Mus musculus: one gene and its partners. The main gene of each other region encodes a partner of the protein of the gene in region 3 in a complex. Links are inferred from orthologs where the notes say so. Each region holds a gene or a part of one and is shown on either strand. Other genes may lie near its edges.

Region 1 (3,748 bases), on a different chromosome or scaffold from region 3:
CCCGCCTCTGCGTTCATGTCCTTACTGATTACCATGTGCTAGACTAAGCTGGGTCACACTGAGTCACACTCAGCTCCGAGGAGACTGAGGACAGCTTGGGCCATGCAGTGAGAGTCCGTCTTCATGAAAAGAAATGAGGAAGGAAAAACCAGTTTAGTTTCCTAAGCAAATCTTTCTTGAGGTGGCTGCTGTAGAGGCAGCATTTGATTCACTCCAATAGGCCATCCTGTCTGCTCTGAGCCAGGTACACCTGTGTGGAGTCTAGCTGTTCTCATGCAGCTTAAAGCAGTCTGGAAAAGCAGGGTGGCACACACCTTTAATCCCAGCAGAGGCAGGTGGTTCTATGAGTTTGAAGCCGATTTGGTCTACAGAGGAAGTTCCAGGACAGCCTGGGCTACACAGAAAAACCCTGATTCAAGACAAAACGAATTCAAACTGGATAACCAGCACCATCCTTGTTTGGCCTCTGCTAGCAAAAATTAGAGCCAGGCAGTATGAAGATGTGTGGGTTCCTGTACTTACCCGAAAGTTCTTATTATCTATAAAGGAGGCTAATAAAACTGAAGGGTAGGTCATGGTGTCCAGCCACTTGAGAGGCTGAGGAGGAAGGCTAACAAATTCAGGGGCAGCTTAGGCAATTTAGATCTTCAACATTCAAAAGAGTGGGGATGTAGTTCTATAGAACTCCTGCATACCATGTGCAAAAGGCCTTGGGTTTAATCCTCGGTGCTGGATGAAAGAAAAAAAAATTGTGAGGGTTAAGTGAGAAGTCATAAAACACTTAACCCTTTATAGAAGAAACTCCAGAATCTTCCTGGTTTCTTTGCCACACTGACCACGAATCCATTTCACTGGGAAGAGTTTATATCATTTTTTAGAAAGACATATCAAAGGTGAGAAGGTCAGTACAGGTTTGATAAAAACCTATCAAACTTTTATAGTCACAAGTTTGACTTCCCCTAAATGGTACCCGGAAGCCTCTTCCAGCAGACTTCCCACCAAAAGGTATTTATAGCAATAAAAGTGATTGAAATTGAAACGTTTGGTACAGCGTCCATTATTAAAACGCTGCTCAAGAATGTGCCCCTAGTGGTACAGCTATGGTAAGTCCCACCATTCATACAGGTGTTCTTCCTTACTCTGGCGCTGATGCTGCCAGGGTAGGATCATGTTACATCGGCCTGTGGCTTCTCAGCTGAGACAGCGTGGGCTGCAGGCTGTTGCACCGATTCGTCGTCTCAGGAAAAGCACAGCCAGCCCGAGATGCACGCACTCTCCCCTGGAGCCTCTTAAGGCTCAAGTCTTTAAGTCCAGCAGTTCAAAAAGTCCCCGTCCTAAAGCTTCCGCTTCTGGCTCCACCCCTACCGTTTCGCGTTGAAGAATTTTGTCCCCCACGCCGAGCTGTTGCCCCGCCCTCGCCGCTGCCATGGCGGCAGCTCCGCCACTCACCAAAGCTGAGTATCTGAAGCGTTACTTGTCTGGGACAGATGCTGGCTTGGAAGGAGGTCCCGAGGCCGGTCGCAAGCGGCGCAAAAAACGGCCGAAGCCTGGAGGCGCTGGCGGCAAGGGGTGAGTGGACTGGTGAGGTGTCGCGCTGCCCGGTGGCGCCCTCGGCCGCAGCTCTTCCTCGTCCTGGCCCGCGCGGTGCTGCCGACCCCGGCCCGAGCTCAGGCCCCGCTCCACTGCCCCGGGGCGGGATTGTAGCTGCCACTGGCAGCTCAGACCTCATCCTCTGAGCAGCGCCTTCCTTGTGTTAAAGGCAGCTAGAACTTAACTCACTTTCTCCCCGCGTTTGTAGCTTACGTCGTTCCATGTACAGATTGAAAGTCGTGTCCAAGAATAGCAAAGCTGATTCAAACCTTTTTCTTTCTCACTTTATTTCTCTCTTTCTCCCTTCCCTTCTCTTTCTTTCCTTCTTCTTTTTCTCTTCCCTCTTCTTTCTTTCTTTCTTTCTTTCTTTCTTTCTTTCTAGATCCAAAAATCTCTTTCTGAGGGTTCCAAAGTGCCAGGAACTGATCTGGAATCAAAGACCCATATCCTATTACTCACATCTACTACTAACAGTAACAACTAAAATGGGAACAGTTCACATCCTGTGCCTGGCCTCTTTCTAAAATAGTTGACCATATAGCTTTCAGAACATTGTAATGGAGCAGACATTTATATTAAACACTATACTTCCAGATTGCAAAGAGATGTGCTGAGACAGAGTTCAGATGAAATGTCCATTAGTAACTTGGCCACTGGAATCTGGAAAGGTTGGGTTAGGATATCCAACATCAACCTACAGAACAAAAGGAAATGTCTGTATTTGTAGGCTTTAGAGCAGCAGCCCTAAGTTTAGCAGCTTACTGAAGGTGCTATTTTGGATAGAAAGTTGAAACTCTGGGGGCTAATTCCATTCTCACACTCCACCCCCAGGTCTACTAAATGCTTATCAGCTTAAAGAGAGTACTAGATAGGATACAAAGTGTGGCTCACCCTCTCTGTGGGGCAGTATCATGGTCTAACAGTATTATTACCGTATGGTCCATTGAACTGGGTCGAATTAGTCCCTCATTTCCACACTTCTCTTCATTAGAGCTTGAGCATGACCTCATTTATAGATGGAATCTTTGTGGTGTTACCAGTTAAGATGAGCCTATATTCAGTTAAGGTGGTGTTGAATTCAGTGTGGCTGATGTCCCTGGAAGAAGGGGCAATGGCATGCAGGGGGAAAGTTTAAGCTTTGGAGCAATACTGATTAGAATTAGAATCCTAGCTGTGCTACTTATAGCCTGAGTGGTCCAGGGCAAGAGATGTTCATCTCAGCCGGGCGTGGTGGCACACGCCTTTAATCCCAGCACTCGGGAGGCAGAGGCAGGCGGATTTCTGAGTTTGAGGCCAGCCTGGTCTACAAAGTGAGTTCCAGGACAGCCAGGGCTACACAGAGAAACCCTGTCTCAAAAAACCAAAAAAAAAAAAAAAAAAAAGAGAGAGATGTTCATCTCTCTGAGCCTGAAGTCCCAGCCCCTTACTACTTGTCTGAAATGGTTGTTGTGATTAAAGCTGTGTCATGTGTTCCTGGCATTTCAAATAACCTCCTCCTTGCAGCACAGTTCATCTGTGTGGCACACATTTATTTATTGGCTTGCCACCACCTTACAGTAATTGGGGCACTGGTTCCTGAAGCTCAAAATGATACACTATTTTCATGTCAACTATTCACATCCTCTTTAAATCATCCTTAGATTAATTACTTAAAAGCCCACTACAGCTTAGGTAGTATGCCAGTAGTTACGTTATATAGGCCATTGTAACTAAAGAAAGTCTATCTGTTTAATACATTGGCCATTCCTTTTCCCCTGGTTGAGTTTGCAGTTGTGAAGTCCATGGGTGTGGAGGGCTGAATACCTCCTGTGACAGTTGTGTTGAAGAAGCCTTGATGAACAAAAAATGTATTAGTCAGCAGGATATGGTGGTAAAAGTCTATAATCCCAGCACAGGGGAGGCTGGGCTGGAGGATAGAGAGCTGGAAGCTAGCTATAGGGAACAACAACAAGAAGAAGGGAATAAATAAGAGAATGCCTTAGCCCTTGGCTGTTGGAACTTAGAATTTAATGAGAATATGGGCTGATAAATACAAATGAAAGCATTCTAAGAGTGTGTAGAGGTATTTCTACTCTGGGAGTAGGAGACAGTGAGCAAGAAAGATAGGTCCAAGGAAGTTATTAAAAACCAGGGTGTAGTGGCTATTCCTGGTTGTCAA
Region 2 (3,748 bases), on a different chromosome or scaffold from region 3:
TCCTTTCTTTAAGGTTTAGAATGCCATATGTAAAGGTGGAGGTATCAGAGCCTTGTTAAAGCTCATTAAGAGAAAGTTACTTCCTCTTGTTAAAAGAATGGATTCTGAGTTCTACCTCTGGCCCTAATGATGGAGACGTAATATTCTGATCAGCCTCAAAAGAGAATATTACATGTTGTCTCTTACCTTAAGAGTTCCATACTGCCTCTAACCACAACATTTGGGAGGCAGAGACAGGTGGATCTCTGTGAATTTCAGGCCAGCCCGCTCTACAAAGTGAATGCCAGGAGAGTCACAAGCTCTATAGTGAGACCACGTCTCAGGGGGAAAAAGAGAGTTCCATGCTTCTGAATTGGTAGAATAAATATTGTGAAAATGGGTATACTTCCAAAATTAATTTGCAGATTTCATGCAACACCTTTCAAAATTCTGATGTATTTCACAGGTTTAGAAAAATAACACAAGAATTGATATGGAACTACAAAAGACAATAGGTAGAAAAGAAATCCCAAGGAATAAGAACAATGCTGATAGCATTATAGGACCTGACCTCAAATTTTACTATAGACCTATAGTCATAAGGACAGCCTGGTATTGCTATAAAAGTAGACATTAATATCAATGAAATAGAATAAGAGAATCCAGAATAAAATGCCAAAGCTATTCCTATTTAATTTTTGACAAAGGAAGCAAAAACATATATTGGGAAAAAAATAACCTACTTAAGAAATATGCTGGAAAAACTGAATTTCTATCTGAAGAAGACAGAAATTATGTGAGTGCAAGTGCCCACAGAGGCCAGAGGAGGATCTTCTGAAGTTGGAGTTGTGAGCCACCTGTTTTGGGTGCAGGTTCTCTGGAAAAAAATCAGCAAATGGTCTTAACCACTGAGCCACCTCTCTAGACCTTCAAGCTAATTTTTTTGAAGCTCAGTTTTTTTCCTCTGTAAAATGGGGATGGTAACTGTATTTCATGGGGTTGTTGGGCGGTCAGCCTGGTCTACAGAGCGAGTTCCAAGACAGCTAAGGCTACACAAGGAAACAAACAAGAGATTGAATGAAAAATGCAAATGGCAGAAAGTGAGCCGCCCCCTGGGAGGCAGAGGTTTAGGGTAGGGGCAGGGTGAGGAGTGCTGGGAGGAGCCAATGGTGTGAGCCTTAGCCTGGGGTTTGAGATCTAACAGAGATAACGTGCATAAATTGTCTCTCATTCACAACCTTTAAGTTCTCTAACTCTTTAGTTGATAGGTACTAGTTTGACAATGCTAATTTTTGCCTGCTTGTTTATACGTGGGCATTTAATTCCGACTGGCAGAGGAACACAGGGTCCCCCCATCGCTCTCCATCAAAAAGGGGGCGGGGACTGACTTGGGAACTGTCCCTCCACAGGAGCGAATGCCTGAGAAAGCACCTTCACCTTACTGCGCAGGCGCCAGGGCTTAGCGGGCCGGAACTTCCGGCGGAAGTTCCGCCTCGCGGGCCCCGTGCTCCAATCTGAGCTGGGTGTTCGGGTCGCGGGAGCGCTTTGGAGCCTCACCCGGAAGCTGTTGTCGTCTGAAGCGAGCCGCGCGAAGATGCGAATATGAAGTAAGGATTCTGTTTCTCTGCGGATAGGGGCGGGAGTGTTCTCCGCGGAAGGGAGAGTGGCTTGAGGATGGCCGCCCAGAAAGGGCGGGGACCGGTCCTCGCCCTCCGGGCCTCCGGGCGGGAGAAGCTCGGTAGGGAGAGGGCGGGCTGGGAGGAAAAGTACTTATCGCACTTACCGGCTTGCCTGCCACCCGCGCAGCCCTCTGACTAAGGTGAAGCTGATCAATGAACTGAATGAGCGAGAGGTTCAACTTGGAGTGGCGGAAAAGGTGTCTTGGCACTCGGAATACAAGCACAGCGCCTGGATCTTTGTTGGTGAGGTCCCCATTTTTCTCCAGCAGTGCCTTTCAGAGTCCGCCCCGTCCCTTCCCCTCCCCTCCCCATCCCTCTCCATCCCTCTCCCCTCCCCTCCCCTCCTCATCCCTCTCCTCTCCTCTCTCCACCCCTTCCCCTCTCCTCCCTATGCCCCCTCCCCCGGTTATTTAGTGCCCCTGGTCATCGCTTCTGAACAAGCTCATCACCTCACACTCTGGAAGCTCCTCTGCTCACAGGTCCACTTTTCAGTTGCCTTCAGCGCTTCTTAGAATTGGTATTTGCCTTTCATTCTATTCAAAACCTTGCTACTTGGCTGCTCAGAGACAGTTCATTCCACAGTCAACCTATCACGATGTCAAAGAAACGGAGGCGCAGACAGGTTACTGGACTTGCTTAAGGTCACATGCTGCAGCACTTCAAAACTGTGGGGCTTGTGCTCTTCGTCACGGTCACATACCGATCGTGTGTGTGTCTGCCCTTCCTCACAATGATTTTTCTCCTCTCCTGGGCTTCTGCTCCTAGTCCTTAGCTGTACCGTGATGTACCTGGTCAGACATTAGCTGGATTTGAAGACATTAAGGCTTGATTCAAAATTAGCTTTACTCCGGCTGAACATTTGAAAGGCCACCTGAAAATGTGACAGGATCAGGGAAAGCTACTTCTGATGAAAAGAATAGAGTCTGGAGTACACCCCTGGCCCTGGGTAGATACCAGGACATTTTCAGGAAACCTACATGTTACATACTAGTGTGCCCCTTCCTTCAGACATAATCCAACAGAGCTTTAAGTCATCTGGCCAGTAGACACCTGTCAGGAAAGCTCAGTCACCGCCAGACACGCTAGGGACACGGGAGGGAAATGATCCCCAGTGCAGGTGGTGCTGATGTCCGCCCTAAGTCTACCTGCTGCTCTGAGGCCTCGCTGAGCCCCACCTCTCCCTTTCTTTCTGTTCTCTGGGTGCTGGCGGAAATCCTGAGCCTGCTTGCCCCTAACACGCTGGGCTTTCTCATCTCACATCTAAATGTTTTCCTGTCCCTTTGCGGCTACTGCTCTGTCCCCATTTTTGTGCACTCCTGCTTGCTCCACCTCCTAATTCTGAAGGCATGGCTGCCAACCCTTCTGTAGCTCCCTCCTCCCTCCTCCTCCCGGTAGCTGGCGAATCTTACACCTTGCCTCCCTATCAGCTCTCCCTCAAATGCTAACACAATGGACCTCAAGCTTGCCCTTTAGTCTGTTTTAGAATTATTTTACCAAGATTAGAGACTGAGAGCCTTTGTAAAAGGGGAACTCTTGAGTCTCTGGGGACAATATTACCTTTCGTGTATTCTCTTTATGTCACAACCAAAATCCCGCAGTTTGCCTTTTGAAGGGATTGTGTTAAGCACTTTATATGCCTCATTTTAGTTTATTTCCATAATACTCCTGTGAGGCAAATATGTTAACGTCCCCTTTTTGCATATGAAGGAGAACATTGAGGAACATGTGAAAGGCTTCCTGTGAACCGCTTAGCACTTTCCTTGATACATCCTAGTTTGCACGTGGGGGGCAGTAACAGTGTATTGAAGTCAGTGTTTATGAAATCTGAGTCTTGTGCTGGAAATCATGTGCTTTATAGGACTTTGGGTATGAAGACTCAATGATAAGATTAATTTGGTAATTTATGACCCTAGCCTTTCCCCTCAGAGTTAATTAGTTTTTTTCTTTTTCTTTTTTTCTTTTTGAGGCACAGTTTCGCTCTGAAACTCACTGTGTAGACCAGGCTTGCCTCGAACTCAAAGGGATCTGAGAGCTAATGACTTTTCTTCCAGACAACTGTCATCGTACCCACTCTGTCATTGTATTAGGCT
Region 3 (3,748 bases):
AACAAAAAGACACACAGTTGGGTGAATAGGGAGTGGGGTAGATCTGGGGAAAGCTGGAGGAATGGCTATGATTAAGACGCAAAACTTTCAAAGAAGGAATTAAAAAACAAACAAACAAAATGCTTGATAAAAAGGAGTATTGATGGACAAAGGCTCGAGGGGGAGGATGAACAGGAGGTACCCTGAGGATGTTGACAGTTCCAGGCCAGCCTGGTCTACAGAGTGAGTTCCCGGACAACCAGGGAATCAGGACTACACCGAGAAACCCTGTCTCCAAAACAAAACAAAAAATCTTGCCGTTGTCCTAAATCTCAAGACTGTTACAAAAGTAAACTCTAACAGTTTCTTGTAACTGACACGGGGTGGGGATGGATCGTAGAAAGTCCTTTGAGGGTGGGGAAAGAGTAGGAAAAGCTCACCTTCCCAATTTTGCTGTCAATTCCAAAATTTTTATTTTAAAAAATTATCTTAACTATATGCTAAATCACTGTTTTTAATGTACTTCAGATATTATACGTACTAACATCTAGCGAGTATTTTACAGAGACAGATTTTTTTCTTTAATCTTAAGGAAATAGATACTTTTATCCTTTTATAGCTAAGGATATTAAGGATAAGAGAATTGAGATAATACAAATTTACATGCCGGGCGTGGTGGCGCACGCCTTTAATCCCAGCACTTGGGAGGCAGAGGCAGGCGGATTTCTGAGTTCGAGGCCAGCCTGGTCTACAGAGTGAGTTCCAGGACAGCCAGGGCTATACAGAGAAACCCTGTCTCGGAAAATAAAAAAAAAAAAAAAAAAAAAAAAATTTACAGACTAAAAATTTGATCAGTTTCTGTAGGTGCTTTGCTACTGACTAATTTCCACCTTTCTCTAACATCTTGTTTCAAAAATACCTCTTCTGATTTTTTTTTTAAAAAAATCCACATTTCAAGATTATTAACTTGGTCCAATCGCGGGGAAGCCTAAGGCGAGGGGGCGGGAACTCGAAAGACTACAAATCCCAGAATGCACCGCTGCCCAGGCTGCTTGCAGGGTTTCCTCGGTGCTTTTCCCTTCTCCCCGGAGTTTCTACACCTGAAATGGATTTCTACGCCCCTCAAAGGTGCCACGGCCTACAGCTGCACGCATCCCGGAGATAGACCTGGATGAGCCCTCGCCGCCAGAGCCCTATATCCCTGCGGCGCAGCCCGCCCTACCCACCTCACCCGCAGCTCCAGCAAGCCGCAAGTCTCCACAGAGGACGCGCACACAGTTGCTAAGGAAACGACGCGGCGTTTCCCCTGACTGGTGAGGCGGTCAAAGGTCGTCTTCGCAAGTTCCGGTTCCGGTTCCGGTATCTAGTTTGTTGTGGCTGACTCTGTTGTGCCGGCCGGTTCGAAGTGCTTTTCTCAAGTCCGGTTGTCGGCCAGGATCGCTCGAGTTCCACGGCTGCAGTCATGGCAGCCTCCACGGCGGCCGGGAAACAGCGCATTCCTAAAGTGGCCAAGGTAGGCGACCGGGAGGAGCCCCCGAACAGCATCTGCGGTGTCGGGCACCAGAGATTCGAGACAGCGATCTCTGTGCCGCGGTCCAAGAAGACAGGTGGTCGGTGAGGTGGCGCAGGGTCTTGTCACTCCGAGCTCGTCTCGCGTCTGCCCAGCCTTCCTTCCAGGGTTGCAAAGCATCGGTTCGGTTCGGTAAACTGTTTGCTTTGCTAGTCTCTGGGGATCCCCTACTTTTACTCCGGGCAAGAGTGCTCCACTAAAACTGGAGAGAGAGCGAAATGGCAACCCAGATAGATGTATCCAAGTAGTGTAGATATGCCATGGGCAAGAGCCAGAAGGGTGCCTGTAAACTTGAGGGTAAACTTTGTGAAGGAAGTTAACACTTAGGCTGCATCAAAGTTAGGCAGTGAAGAGAATGGCAGAGGATAGGCTCTGGGCAATGGCATAAAATTTAGGTTAGATAGTAAATTGTTATATTTCCAACTGTGGTTGATACTTCATCAATACTTAATAAGTGTCAAATCTTGCACTTAGCCATCACATACAGTCATTCTCTGGAAGTCTGATTTGGCCATTTTGTCTTGAGACAAGTTCTTATTTCCACATGTAATTATTGTAAAAGTCTGATGTGGTAGCTTCCCCCCTACCCCCGCTCCCAAACCCCTATCCTGAGTCATAAAAGCCAGGGAATGCATGCTGACTAAGTTTTTGACAGCTTGACACAAGATAAAGTTATCTAGGAGGAGGCATCTGGACTAAGAAAATTCGTCCCTAAGCTTGCTTGCTGGCAAGTGTGTGAGGCATTTTCTTGATTACCAATTGATGTGGACGCCCCCCCCCCCCCCGCCTACTTGGGCAGTGCCACACCTGGGCAGGGGCTCTGGTGTAGTCTGTGAGAGCAGACTGAGCACAGCTGGTATGCCTCCAGCTTCCTGCCGTGTCTTCCATTCATGAAGACTGTGGTCCAGTTGTGTAAGCCAATCAGTCAGCTCTTTCCTCTGCAGGTTGCTTTTGTTGGTGATGTTCGATCACAGCAGTAAAAAGGCCAATTAGAACTTAGGGTCCATCTGCACTTGAACACATTTGACTTTTAAGCTCCTGTGTTGGAACTATAGCTTCAGGTGCTCTAAAAGCTTACAGGCTAATGATGGAGACTTAGTAAAAACAAGTTTCAGTTGGCCTAAAATGTCATGGAAAACCAGCTTGTCCACTAGAAGGATTAAAATATGTAGAGGAGTTCTCTAAGCAGGTTATAAAGAGGAAGGAGTGTGATTTTTTTTTCCCCCTGCCCCTCATGGAGAATTGAAGATGTTATTCAAAGATGGCATCTTGGGCACATTCTTAGGAGGGCTTTTTCTTTCGAGACAGGGTTTCTCTGTGTAGCCCTGGCTGTCCTGGAACTCACTCTGTAGACCAGCCTGGCCTTGAACTCAGAAATCCACCTGGTTCTGCCTCCCAAGTGCTGGGATTAAAGGTGTGTGCCACCACCCTGCCATTCTTAGGAAGTTTATGTCCTGGAAAATATACAAGGGTTTTAAAATCTCGTGTGGAGAGCACTACCCAAAATAGGAATGTCTCTTTGTCTTAAAAGGTGAAGAACAAGGCGCCGGCCGAAGTGCAGATAACGGCCGAGCAGCTCCTCCGAGAAGCTAAAGAGAGAGAACTCGAGCTCCTCCCACCTCCACCTCAGCAGAAGATCACAGATGAGGAAGAATTAAACGATTACAAACTCCGGAAAAGGAAGGTGAGTCCGTCAGAATGCACTGTGCAACCTGTCCCAGTTGCTGCCCACAGTGGGAACGAGCTCCCAGAGAGCCTATGTGATGGGACCTCAGGCGAATATTGGGAATTATTTAATCCACGAATATTATGGAAGTTATATGGGAAGTTCTATAAATTACTGAGCACTTGAAGGTAATCTTGAAAGGTGTTTTAACATTCTTGTTCTTAAAAGGAATGAGAGTAGAATATATTAAAGTACTCGTTAATTATTACAGAGAACAGCAAAATCTTGCAATAGCTACCCCTACATTTTTCTTGTCTCCATAAACTTTAGAGAAACACCTGTCACTGATACCCTTCTGGAGGAAAGCTGCTGTTCCTTGGCATCTAGGATATAATTTCTTTTAGGAAGAGTAAAACGAGAAGTGTATATCATAAGGAAAAGCAAAGTCGTTTTCTCTTTACTGTACTGCTCCCCGCCCCCCTTTGCCTTTCAGACTTTTGAAGATAACATAAGAAAAAATAGGACTGTGATTA

What was found. The genes of interacting proteins can lie anywhere in the genome.
Region 1: Crnkl1 (region 3) and Bud13 share a complex: the UniProt entries of both Homo sapiens proteins name them as parts of the minor spliceosome. The link is inferred for Mus musculus from reciprocal best matches to the Homo sapiens genes CRNKL1 and BUD13.
Region 2: Crnkl1 (region 3) and Rbmx2 share a complex: the UniProt entries of both Homo sapiens proteins name them as parts of the minor spliceosome. The link is inferred for Mus musculus from reciprocal best matches to the Homo sapiens genes CRNKL1 and RBMX2.

Annotation. Positions count from the first base shown.
Region 1 is NC_000075.6:46,281,605-46,285,352, forward strand, and holds the start of Bud13 (BUD13 homolog), read left to right. Parts: upstream 1-1,407; 5' UTR 1,408-1,426; coding exon 1,427-1,569; intron 1,570-3,748. UniProt on the Homo sapiens protein: Involved in pre-mRNA splicing as component of the activated spliceosome. As a component of the minor spliceosome, involved in the splicing of U12-type introns in pre-mRNAs.
Region 2 is NC_000086.7:48,693,535-48,697,282, forward strand, and holds the start of Rbmx2 (RNA-binding motif protein, X-linked 2), read left to right. Parts: upstream 1-1,469; 5' UTR 1,470-1,581; coding exon 1,582-1,586; intron 1,587-1,785; coding exon 1,786-1,901; intron 1,902-3,748. UniProt on the Homo sapiens protein: Involved in pre-mRNA splicing as component of the activated spliceosome. As a component of the minor spliceosome, involved in the splicing of U12-type introns in pre-mRNAs.
Region 3 is NC_000068.7:145,932,298-145,936,045, reverse strand, and holds the start of Crnkl1 (crooked neck-like protein 1), read left to right. Parts: upstream 1-1,345; 5' UTR 1,346-1,441; coding exon 1,442-1,492; intron 1,493-3,080; coding exon 3,081-3,233; intron 3,234-3,708; coding exon 3,709-3,748. UniProt on the Homo sapiens protein: Involved in pre-mRNA splicing process. As a component of the minor spliceosome, involved in the splicing of U12-type introns in pre-mRNAs.